3 linked regions of the Tamandua tetradactyla genome follow. The protein of the gene in region 2 interacts with the protein of the main gene of each other region in a pairwise test. Links are inferred from orthologs where the notes say so. Each region holds a gene or a part of one and is shown on either strand. Other genes may lie near its edges.

Evidence for each region.
Region 1: the proteins of TXLNB (region 2) and LURAP1 interact in binary tests that used the Homo sapiens proteins (3 or more experiments, as listed by UniProt). The two-hybrid records come from large-scale screens. The link is inferred for Tamandua tetradactyla from reciprocal best matches to the Homo sapiens genes TXLNB and LURAP1.
Region 3: the proteins of TXLNB (region 2) and DEUP1 interact in binary tests that used the Homo sapiens proteins (3 or more experiments, as listed by UniProt). The two-hybrid records come from large-scale screens. The link is inferred for Tamandua tetradactyla from reciprocal best matches to the Homo sapiens genes TXLNB and DEUP1.

What each region holds. Positions count from the first base shown.
Region 1 is NC_135328.1:176,648,185-176,651,933, forward strand, and holds the start of LURAP1 (leucine rich adaptor protein 1), read right to left. Parts: upstream 2,527-3,749; 5' UTR 2,098-2,526; coding exon 1,900-2,097; intron 1-1,899. UniProt on the Homo sapiens protein: Acts as an activator of the canonical NF-kappa-B pathway and drive the production of pro-inflammatory cytokines. Promotes the antigen (Ag)-presenting and priming function of dendritic cells via the canonical NF-kappa-B pathway.
Region 2 is NC_135351.1:39,321,365-39,325,113, forward strand, and holds the start of TXLNB (beta-taxilin), read right to left. Parts: upstream 2,883-3,749; 5' UTR 2,701-2,882; intron 512-2,700; 5' UTR 498-511; coding exon 56-497; intron 1-55. UniProt on the Homo sapiens protein: Promotes motor nerve regeneration. May be involved in intracellular vesicle traffic.
Region 3 is NC_135334.1:49,843,815-49,847,563, forward strand, and holds the start of DEUP1 (deuterosome assembly protein 1), read right to left. Parts: upstream 2,536-3,749; 5' UTR 2,349-2,535; intron 1,855-2,348; exon of another isoform or gene 1,758-1,854; intron 704-1,757; exon of another isoform or gene 662-703; 5' UTR 636-661; coding exon 589-635; exon of another isoform or gene 54-588; intron 1-53. UniProt on the Homo sapiens protein: Key structural component of the deuterosome, a structure that promotes de novo centriole amplification in multiciliated cells.

The sequences.
Region 1 (3,749 bases), on a different chromosome or scaffold from region 2:
AGCAAGGAGAGCTGGGAGAAGGACAACTGAAGGACAGTCCTTAGAGGGCTTGGCTCAGTCCTGCTACTAGTGGCTCCATGGAGAACCCCCTGTTCCACCACTGTCCTTCCTGGGCCCAAGACAGTGGGCAAGGCAGAGTGCCAGAAGAGATCAATGACATCCTGGCCTGAGGAGGGAGAAAGTAATGGGGTAGGGATCTGTGAGTACATGTAGAGGATCTCTCCTTGTTCTGACCCCTAGAAGGCTCCCTCCCTTGTGCCCTTCACAGGCAGCCTCAGGCCCCAGGTCAGGCTGAGTCAAGAATACAGCAAGAAAAAAAATCAGAAGTTAAATGTATCCCTAAAAAAGTTCACCTTCAAAGGCAGAAAAGAGAGCCAGAGAGACTAGGTACAGCTTCTCCACTGACTTCCTGTGGGAGCTCTCTTAACACCTCCAAGCATATTTCTACATCTGTGAGATGGGGAAAATAATGACTATTTTTCTCACTTCAATGACATAATGTGTTTTAAAGTGTCTGACCCAAAGCAGGTCTTAACGATAAAGATGTAAATTGTAGTCAGATTATCTGGATTCAAATCCTAGCTCTGCTTTTTTACTTTTTGTATGACCTCGGACAGTTCCTTAACCTCTCTGTGCCTCAATTTCTTCATCTATAAATTATTTTCCTCATAAGGCTTTTGTGAGGATTAAGAGAATATATTATAGAGTGTATTTTCAAAGCAGGGTATTCTAAGTAGGCTCTTTCTAGGCCTCAAGCTCCAGTTTGTATGATAAGGCAACACCAGCCCCCACTTAGGTGAGCAGTCACAGTCCTGCTCTAGAGCATTTGGCACTCACCCCCAACCTTCAAGGCCAAGTGCACATTTGGCATTCAAGTGGAGCCTTCCCTGACTGCTCCGCCCACAAGGTTCTCCTCCCAGCCTCTCAGGAAGCCCTGGAGCCCTGGGCTCTCCTCCCTACCTCCCTCACAGCCAGGCCTGGCACAGAGGAGGGCGCACAGTGGGGCTCCAGGAAGACTTATTAGCTGACAAACTCACTGTGAGTTTCTGGTTCTGGGCCAGGGAGCAGCCGGCAATTCCTCAGGTTATTAGAACTGGCTATGAAGTAGTGGCAGGTGTAAATCATTCCCTTCACCTCAGTCTCTTCACCGGAATCAAAGCCCTAGGTGTCCTTTTGGCTCAGAACATCTAGACTGCAGCACCATGGAAGGGGGGGGGTGCCTGTTTCCTCCTTTTCTCCCCAAGGAGGAACAGATGGAATCCAAATATCCAGTGCACCCCCGGGAAGAAGACTAGTCAGGTGAGGAACTGACACTGATGGGTGTGCCTAATCTTTGTCTGCTATGGTTCTGGGAACTTTCAGATATTTTATGCCTGGATGGCAGAATGATTTTAGTGCCCCCTGGTCCTGGCAGTTTTCAGTAGATGTGTGTCTCACCCAAATTTTCTTTTGTACTGAATCCTGTCGTAAACACTTGGGCCTCAACTGAACCAAATTCGGTCCTGGTCCTGAAAAAGCTCCTAGTTTGCAGGGAAGAAGAACCTAGTTGCCCTGTAATGCAACTAGGGGGGGACAGAGGTGTGCAGTGCCAGGTTCTCAGTTGTCTCCCTGCCCTGACCTCCCCACTCCCAATTATTTGGCGGAAAAACTTCCTAGGTTGTGCCTCCCACCTCAAGTCCTGGGAACCCACCAACATCCCACCCACCCTTGGGGGACAATTAATGGAAGTCACCCTACCTCCGCCCCGCGGGTTTTACAGATTAACCTGGGAAGCATCCAGAGGAGTAAGGTGCGGAGTTTTAACTCCTTCCTCTCCAGCCCACTCCGGGGGCGTCAGTCCGTTCTTTCCAGCCCTAAACCGGGGACTCCGACGCCCTGGCCCGTGGAGGTAACACTCACCAGCTCCATCCTCAGCTTCATGATCTTGTCCCCCAAGCCGTGGCCCAAGCTAGGCGCTCCTGGGAGCAGCAGGGCGCCAGCGGTCCCCGGCTCCCACTCGCCTCGCAGCCCGCGGAGAAGCCCTTCAGGGGTCTTCCTGCCCACCTTGCTCTCCACGTCTCGTAGGTCAGGCGTCTGGGACTCTGCGGTCCCCTCCATACGGGCCCAAGCCTGTGCGGGGCTGGGCGACCGGACGCCGGGGTCCCGCTCCCGGGGGTCTTCCTTTCCCCGCCGCCACTGCAGAGCGGAGCAGAACGGGTGGGTCCCCGCCCGCGCGGCGCACAGGCGGAGGAGGGCGCCGTACCGCTCAGAAAAGCCGCGCAGAGCCTTTTCTGAGAGCCGCGCACAGTCTATTCCAGGGCTGCGCACACACCCTCTAGCTCAGGAATGCGCTAGGAGAGCTCAGCGCCTTCTCCCCACTCTGCCACTGAATCTAAACAGGCACACATCAGGCGCCCAGTAAATGTTTGGAGCTTGATGAACAGTGGTAGCAGAGGACTGCAGAGAGTTTTGAAAGGCTTCCTGGGGTAGAAGAGTTGGTAGAAAATAGCGGCTAGAATTTAGCTAATCACTGACACGCGCGGGCACACACATATACACACACCAATTTCAGCTCCTCCTTAGACAGGAGGAGCAGAAACTAAAGTCCTTCTGCCCAGCGGCAGGCAACCAGTGTTGAAGCTTTAGTGCTCTGCATGGGCCAGATCACACCAGATCTTGTAGACTGGTGTTCCCTAAACTTGACCGTTCCTTTGACTCATCTGCGGAGCTTGTTAAAATGCAGATTCTGATTCAGTAAGTCCGAGGTGGGCCCTGAGATTCTTCATTCCTAACACGCTCCTGGTGATGACTATGTTATTGGTCCTAGAACCACACTCTGAGTAGCAAGGTTGTACAAGGCTGTTTTAAGGTGTTTGGATTTTATTCTGTGAGCAATGGAGAACCATAAAAATGTTTTGTTTTGTTTCAGCTTAGTTTAGATTTTGGTTTTTTAATCCAAGTAATTCAGTTCACCGTTACAGAAGGGTTTACAATGAAAAGATAGTTATCCCTGCCTTACCTTTTCCCGCCTCTAGTCCCACTTCCCAGAAGCAACCACTTTTAGCTTTTTTTTTCCTTCTAGTATTTAAATAGGTTTATACCACTGTTTCCGTTTACTAAAGCTGCTGGAATGCAATATACCAGAATGGGTGGGCTTTTTCAGTGGAGATTTATTAAGTTACAAGTTACAATTCTAATGCCATGAAAATGTCCAAATTAAGGCACCAAGAGTTTACCTTCTTGAAGGAAGGGCTGCTGGCATCCGGGGTTCCTATGTCAGGTGGGAAGGCACATGGCAATGTCTTCTGGTCCTTCCCTCTAAAATATCTCTGTGGGTGTTTATTTTCTCTCTTAGCTTCTATTGGCTCTCTCCAGAACTTCTCTCCTTTAAAGAACTCCAGCAAGCTGATTAAGACCCACCTTAAATGGGTGGGGTCACATTTCCATGGAAACAATCTAATCAAAGGTCCCACCCAACAATAAGTCTGCCCCTACAAGAACGGATTAAAATAACATAGGCTTTTCTGGGGTACATAACAGATTTAAACCAGCACAACCCCTCTTTCTTTCTTTTTTTTTTAATTAGAGAAGTTATGGGTTTACAGGAAAATCATGCATAAAATAAAGATCCCCATATACCACCCTGTTATTAACACCTTGCATAAGTATACTACTGGTTCTTGATTTTAAATGTTTGTCTATTGGTTTCCTATTATGGAAAGTATGGATTTAACTCACAATCAGTACTTCCCTTCTGTCACTGGTCCTGT
Region 2 (3,749 bases):
CATTTTAGGACAGATTCAAAGAGAGAAAAGCCACAGAGTAGGACAAATGACTTGCCTAATCCCTTTAGGATTTTCTTTTCCGATTTTTGCTCTTTATTGCCGACAGACTCTTTGGCTGCAGGTGGCTCTCCAGAAGCTGTGGGCTCCCTTTCAGTCTCTTCCATGGTCTCTTCATAGTCCCTTTCCTCGTGGTCAAGGGATTCTGCCCTCTCTTTGGTTGTGCCAGGGCCCTCCTGCCCCGTTGTGCTGGCGGCGGACCCGTATGTGCTTATAATGTCTTCCAGTTGTCGATTCAACTCTTCGGAGATATCATGAGCTGCCTTTTCAGGCTGCACACTTGCCCCTTTCTCTGGTTCTTGGATTGGGGGTGAGGAATCCTGGCCATCTGGCTTCTCCAGGCCATTTAGCCTCGGTGGCAATGAAGAACTCTCCTCTCCATCCCCTGGGGCTGTTGACTGCGGTTCCACTGAGGGTAGTATGGGTTGACCAGTCTCCATATTGGGAGCAGTGCCTAGAGATGAGCACAGTTAGGTTAAGGTAGTTAACTCAGCTGTATGTAAATGGTAAGGACAACCCCAAATGGGTTTCTAACATTGACTGAACGCCCCTTCATAAGCCACTGATGCTAGTTAGTAAGGTAGTAACAGGTGGAAGTCATTTCTCCAAATTGAGTCATACTACTAGCATACTTTTGTTTTGGTCTTTGCATTCCACTTGTGTCCCCTATTATTGTCATGAAAAGAGTAATTCATGCTATTATTTCCTTTGCATGGCCCTGTTTGACATTTTGCTTAGAATAGTCAGTTAGTGGCTATCATTCTCTCATACAATTCTATGTAGGTTCAAAATCGTTGGAAGCACATGGTTGAATACACTTAAAGGTTGAAATTTAAATTGGTATTAGTTTTCTTTCAAAGTTAAAACAGTTAATGCAAGAGCTGTTGAGTCTACTAAAAGTATCCATTACAACAATATCCCTAAACTCTATTTTAATCCATAACTCAAGATGTGATCAATATGAATATTTTGGTGTAAATGCTTACACCAAAAATGGTGAAAGCAGGAGGTACTTTCTTGCTTTTCCAATGTTTTCTTTTTCCCAGATGAGTAACATGTAATTGTCATTTAGTAAAACACATTTTCTGAGGTTCACACTAGCATCATTTCTAGAATAAGACAGTGAGAGCAGGTATAAACAAACGGACTGCCCAGTGTGACTACACGGTGGTGCTCATGATAATTCTTGAATTTACTCAATACACATTTGTTCCAACATTAAAACCCACTTTCCTTTAGGATAAAACAGATCCCAGCTTTCTCTTCTCAGTCAAGAAACACCAGAATAACTTATTTATTTTTAAGAAATAGCAGTGGCCAGTATTCAGGGAAAGGATGAATTGGGGAAAAAAAATCCAGATATAATCCGGGCAATAGTCCGAGAGGGACGTGATGAGGCAAAAGATTCCAGGGTTTCTGGCGGTCTCCATTTCTGAGTTTGCAAGAGCTTTAGCTTGGGCCTTTCAGCCAGGATGTTTAGAGAAACAGATAGAATAGCTTTCCGCTTGTAAAGGGTGTTTCACAGTGAGCCTGTTAATTCACAGCGTAGAAACCTGGCAGGTTCCTCCTGGCGCCCAGGTGTGCTGCCGCGCTGGCAGGGAGAGGAAACGCCAGCGTGACCGCCCCACTCCCTCTCCCGGGCCTCGCGGACACCAGCATGAATGGAGACTCCCATGAGGCCCCCCCCCCCCCCCCCCAGCTCTCATTCACTTGGAAGGAAGCCCTTCCTTCCACCCACTCCATCGGTCAGCTTCGTCACCGGGCCACGCCGTCAGCGGCCACATGGCCTGCCCCCTACGTGCTGTGCACACCGGCTATATTTAACTTCGCTCCCAGCCCCCGCCCCCAGCTCAAGGCGGGGGCATGTGGCACCTGCTGTCCAGCCAGAGGTTATTTTAAGCTCTTGTGGAAGGCATCATGGTATTTAGCATGTCATCCTCAGAAACCAAGGGAAGAGAACACTTTTTAAAATCAATCTGAAAACAGTAAACATTTAAGGGTTTCCGTTCATATGTCGGTTGTAAAGTGTTAGGGAAGCTATTTCAGGATGAAATCAAATTGAAAGTAGACCGAACTTCAAAGTGATGGGTTTAAAGCCAACTGAAAGGCGTGTTAGTATGGTTAGTGCAGATACAAGTTCTCTGCATTCGATTTGCGCTGTATTTATCAGATGCCCTGACCACCGATGGTTTTTATACTTAATTCCATGGCTATCCTTCCAATTCCCGCTCCACATGCACTTTAAAGCAGAATGACAGCGTCCTTGTGAGCCACAGGACAGCTCAGTTCCTAGGAGCAGCCTCCAGATAAATCAACAAGAGGGGAAGAAAAAGTCCAAGGAGCTCTGTTCCTTTTTAAACTGTCCCTTTCTGTCCTCGCTAGTTTTTCAGCAAAAGCTATTTCTAAATTTTATTTTGTATAAACTTTATTGTCCTCCCTCCTCTGAAAGAGAGAATCCTGTGCTTGCACTAGAGGTCTCAGCAGGTTCTACGCACTCCTTCCTAAGCAACGCATTTCACTTACAAACAAAGCAGTGGAAAGTTCTTCAACAGCTCACTTCGATCTCAAAGTTGCATGTTTTCAACACCACAAACCGCACCCTACCTCTTCTCGTAGGCCTCGGGGGGTGGTTGTCATACTCACCGGCAGGCTAGGAGCTGAGCAAAGAGAGAAGGGAGGAGAGGAAAGAGGCAGCAAAGAACAAGTCAGAGCAGCAGGGACAGCAGGAGACAGGCAGGCCGGGTTCTCACAGGGGAAACAGACCACATAGACAAACACGCCAGTGCGCGCGCACACACACACACACGCACACACACAGGCAGTGGGCCAGAGCCGGCAGGGGAGGGAAGGCGGCGTGACACAGCAAGAGACAAGGGCACCCAAGCTCCGGCAGGAGTTCAGCAGCTGGGAGAGCTTATCAGACCCTCCTCCACGATTTGTCCTTTTAAAAAATGTAAACCGTGAGTCGGCAGCAGCCCGTTTGCAGGCGCAGCTTCTCACCATTGCTGATCTTGGGCGCGGAGAGCAGTTTTTCTTATTTCTTGGTATACTTCCAGTGTGGCAAGTCTAATTAGTGCCGAGTTTCTTACAGGAATTCTGGAAAAAGGGGAACAGCGGCCTAACAAGAAGGAGTCCAATCTAGTTCGGGTCCAGTGCTGGGAGCACTTTATTTCTGATGTTATTGTCTGGTTTCTTGGCAACATTTGTAATAAAAGTTTACTTGGTGTTTGGAGGGCTGGCCCATGGTTGGAGCCCCGGTGGTGATCCGCGTGGCCTCCGGCCGCAGGCCGCACTCAGGGAACTGCTCGCCTGTCACTTGCTGCCTGCGTGTCCCTCCTCCCGCAGCAGCTCCTCCCGGGGGTGTCCTCCTCAGTCCTCCTCACAGAAAGACCCTCCTCCCCACTCCCCATCAAATGCCTCTCTCCAGACCCCATCCCGTGGTTCCTGGATCACGTGTCTGCACTGGTCTGAGGCAGAGCCTGACCAGCCGGGCCGGAGGCAGCGACACCCCCGTGGAAGCGAGGATGCTGGTCCCGGGAGGCCCATGTCCAAATCCCTGAGCCCGTGACCGTGCTGCCTTGTGCAGACCAAGGGAGTTCGTGGATTGATTACGTTAAACAGGGGAGTCTCCTGACTCACCCAGATTGGACCTGATGTAACCATAGGGCTCCTTCCAGGTGAAAGAGGGGACC
Region 3 (3,749 bases), on a different chromosome or scaffold from region 2:
ACCTCCCCATGAAACTTTTGATAAAATACCCAGCTCTTATTGCTGTTTCGTAGAGTTGTATTTATTCTGGAACTTGTGGTGAAGTGCTGAGTTCAGCCTGAAGGGCAAGAATGGAGGAAGCGAGAATGCAAGAAAGGAATAAGCTGGCCATGAGCTGTTGCAGTGTGAGAATCCAAGACTGCACAAAGGCTGCAAGGTTGGTTCCCCTGGGTGTGTGCATCTATCCCATGAAGCCACTGGACAAAGTCACTGAAAGTTGGAAAATGGCGATCGTCTTTGGACACCTCTGGTGTACAATATACAGAGTCAAAATTCAAAAGACTCATGCTGGGCAGGCCACTGTGGCTCACCAGGCAGAGTTCTCGACTGCCATGCCAGAGACCTGAGTTTGATTCCTGGTGCCTACCCATGCAAAAAAAGATTCATGCCATAGATTCTTAATTACAGTCTCTTGAAATTCCCCCCACCCTCTTCACCAAAAATAATTGGCACATCTTTCTATTAATATGAAATTTCAAAACTCATGCATAGTCCATGATTTTTGACAAAGTAAAATACCAACTTATTAAACAGATTTGCAGCACTTACCCCGTAGTATTAGGAGCCTTGTTCTCCATGTCAAGAAGCTGTTGCATCTGGTTTATGGTTCTTAATTTTTAATCTGCTGGAGAGAAAAATGATCTAGATTCCTAAAATGCTTACAATTATGAATGTATAAAACATAAAAATTTTGCTTTTAGCAAACTATTTAATGTTAGTTTCTCTGAGATAGTAGTAACTCTTGGTTCTACAAAATGAAGAAACGGGCTTATTTGGGGGGGGAGGGAGGAGTGCTCCTTTGTATTTATGACATAGGCTTAGTGATGAGTTGAAATATGTGGTACTGACTGAAATTGGCATTCGTTCCCTATTTGTTGGACAACAGCTAGATACCAGGTGCTTTGCAGAGTGCTCAGTACATGGGGATGAGTAAACTGGAATTCTTACTCAAAGGAATTCCAGCTAGATTTTCTCAAACTTTCCTTTCCTGTGAATCCCCTAAATGGCATGCCTTTATTTGAGTAAATTCTTTCTCTGGCCATTTCTGGGGTCTGTTAACATAAACATACCAAGAGTTAAGGACAGAAGCCTGAAGAACTTTCTAAAAATACAAATCTTACAGTTCCTTAATGGTTCTATGGGCACTGGCTCACTCTCTTGACAAAATGAGCTTATGTACTTGCCTAACACAAGATAGTATTTCCCCCAGCAACAGTTTTATTTTATAATTAGTATATGAAGATAAATGGACAAAGTATTGAAAAAGAATTCAACTCCGAATTACTGAATAAAAGTCAATGAAAGCGCATTTATGGTTGTAGAAAGAGGAGGAGGAAGATCCCGGGATTCATGCCACCCAAATCAGAGGAATTTAAGGGAGATCCTACAGTTGTGGGTGAAGAGGAGGGGCGAAAAGCAGGGGCGGTGAATGAAAACTTGAGCAGCAAGAACGGATGAATAAACAGTTTCGTCAGTTCTCAAATCCCTCACTTTCACGTCAGGGAAACGGAGGCACAAATTAAGTGACTTGCCTAAGGCCACACAATTAGAACCTACACTTCAAAGTCCTTGCATCCCGGGCTCTTTCCCACCCGCCGCGTGCACAGTCTCCCCCAGCCTCCTGGGGTAACCCCTGCCTCTAGGATTGCGGGTGCCAGCCCGGCCGACGCGAGAGGGACCGGGGTGAGGTGGGCAGGGGAGGCCCGGGGCCCTGTTACCTGTCTGTGCCGCGCCGCGCCGGCCGCGCCTGCCCGGGAGGTCTGAGGCCCCGGGAGCAGGAACGCGGGGAGCCCTCCCGCCCGCCCGAGGGGCCCTGCGCCCGCCGCGCGCTCCCGCCGCCCCGGCCCGCCAGCCGCGCGGCCTCTCCCGCTCCGCCTGCCGCGCCTCCTGGTTGTCATGGGGACGCGGGCCGAACTCGCCGCCGCCGCGGTAGAGGGCAGGGGCGGCGGGGCGCTGCGGCGCCGGCTGACTCGCTGGAGGTGGCGGCGGGACGGCCCGGCCAGCAGCCTCTTCACCCCAAGCGAGCGCGGCCTGGCTGTCCCGCAGTTAGGCGTGTGGTGCCTGCTCACTAGTCAGAGGGCTCCCCGATACAGGCTGGGTCCCTTCCTGCCTGTGGCTCCAGTGCCTAGCCCGCTACCCGACGCCCAACACAGGCCCCATAAAGGTTTGTCGAATGACTGAAGGAATGAAATAATGAAGGAACAAAGGGTAAATGGCTGGGGGTTCCATATTCAGGTGACTTCACCACCCCCCCGGTTCCCAGCCTCTTCTCCCCAAGTTTGAAACAGGATGAAAAATAAACTGGGTACTTTTCCTTTCTATTCGCCAGTGTCTTCCAGCTGGGAAGGGCTGGATTTCTTTAAATGCACAGCTCAGTCCACCGCCACTTCTGTCGCCCTAACAGCAGCATTTGTGCCTGTCTTTCCCATACAACTGGGTCTGTAATTTAGGCAGAGCCGATAGTATTGTCTTCCTTTTAGGTATGAAGAAATAATTCTCAAGTGAGGGAACTAGAACGGAACCCGGGGTGGCTGATTCCAAATTCTTTTCTTTTCTCCACCAAATTCCAGGAATAATTGATGACAGCAGCCCTGTCCTACCGCCCTGATTTCACAGAATGTCGGGAAGGGCTATATGTTTATTATATATTATAGGTCATATTTTTATAAATTATATTGCTTTCTTGAGGGAATTATTTTTAAGCACTTGAATTTTGTGTTTGAAAATATTCTTGCATCTATTTTAGGAACAGAATTCCTTCCTAATACATCGAGTTGATTAGCTTCTAATTCTTAAAATCTTTTATTTGTACTCCTCTTCATAACATTAACATTAATTTGCTACTTTAATATGGCTATCAACTTAATATAGACTCATCCCTCCATCCAGGTTCCATTTAAATTTCATGAAACCATTTGCTATTTCTTGACAAATTGAGTCTCTTAGATGAATTGTATAAAGTAACACAGGTTATTAGTTATAATAGGTGTTTCATAGAGCTATTCATATTATTGAATGAAGAGAGTGATCATTTCATCATAACTTGAAATTTTCCATTATTCTGAAAGCCTTGGCCATGTTGGTCCTTCCTCTTTACACTGAATGCTTTGATGTAGGTTTCCTGACTTTAGAAAGGGAAAAAGAACTTGGAAAAAAATGTAAGTAAGTTCCAGGATACCCAAGGTAACTCAAGCTTGTATAGCTCTTTACCATTGGTAAGTACTTTCACATTCAGTATTTCTTTAGATGCTCAGAAATTCTTGTTTGTGAAGCTGAGTGTAGCAACGATTATTAATAGCAACTCCAGGTTCGAGATCTCCAAGATGATACATCTAATTCAAGTACAGCTAAGATATGAGTGTAGGGCATCTTACTCCAAATCCAGAGCTCTTCAAATTCTGCCTAAAAGCCCTAAGTATAGCAGTCAGGATTTTGCATAGGTACCTGAAGAGGTATTTAAAGCCATAATTTCACAAGAAAGAATGCCTATGTCTGGGCTTGTAAGACATAAGTATGTGAGAGGACACATACTCTGATAGATTTTAGGAAAATGGAAAAAAAAGAATAGGAGTTTTCCGTTCAATTCAAATAAGATTAAGACTTTCATTTCAAGATGAGCATTAAGGCTAAAAATGCAAAGACCTGCCCCTTCTCCAGTAAGGAGTGTTTGCGATGATTTGAATTCACCCTGATATATTCCTGTTAATAGA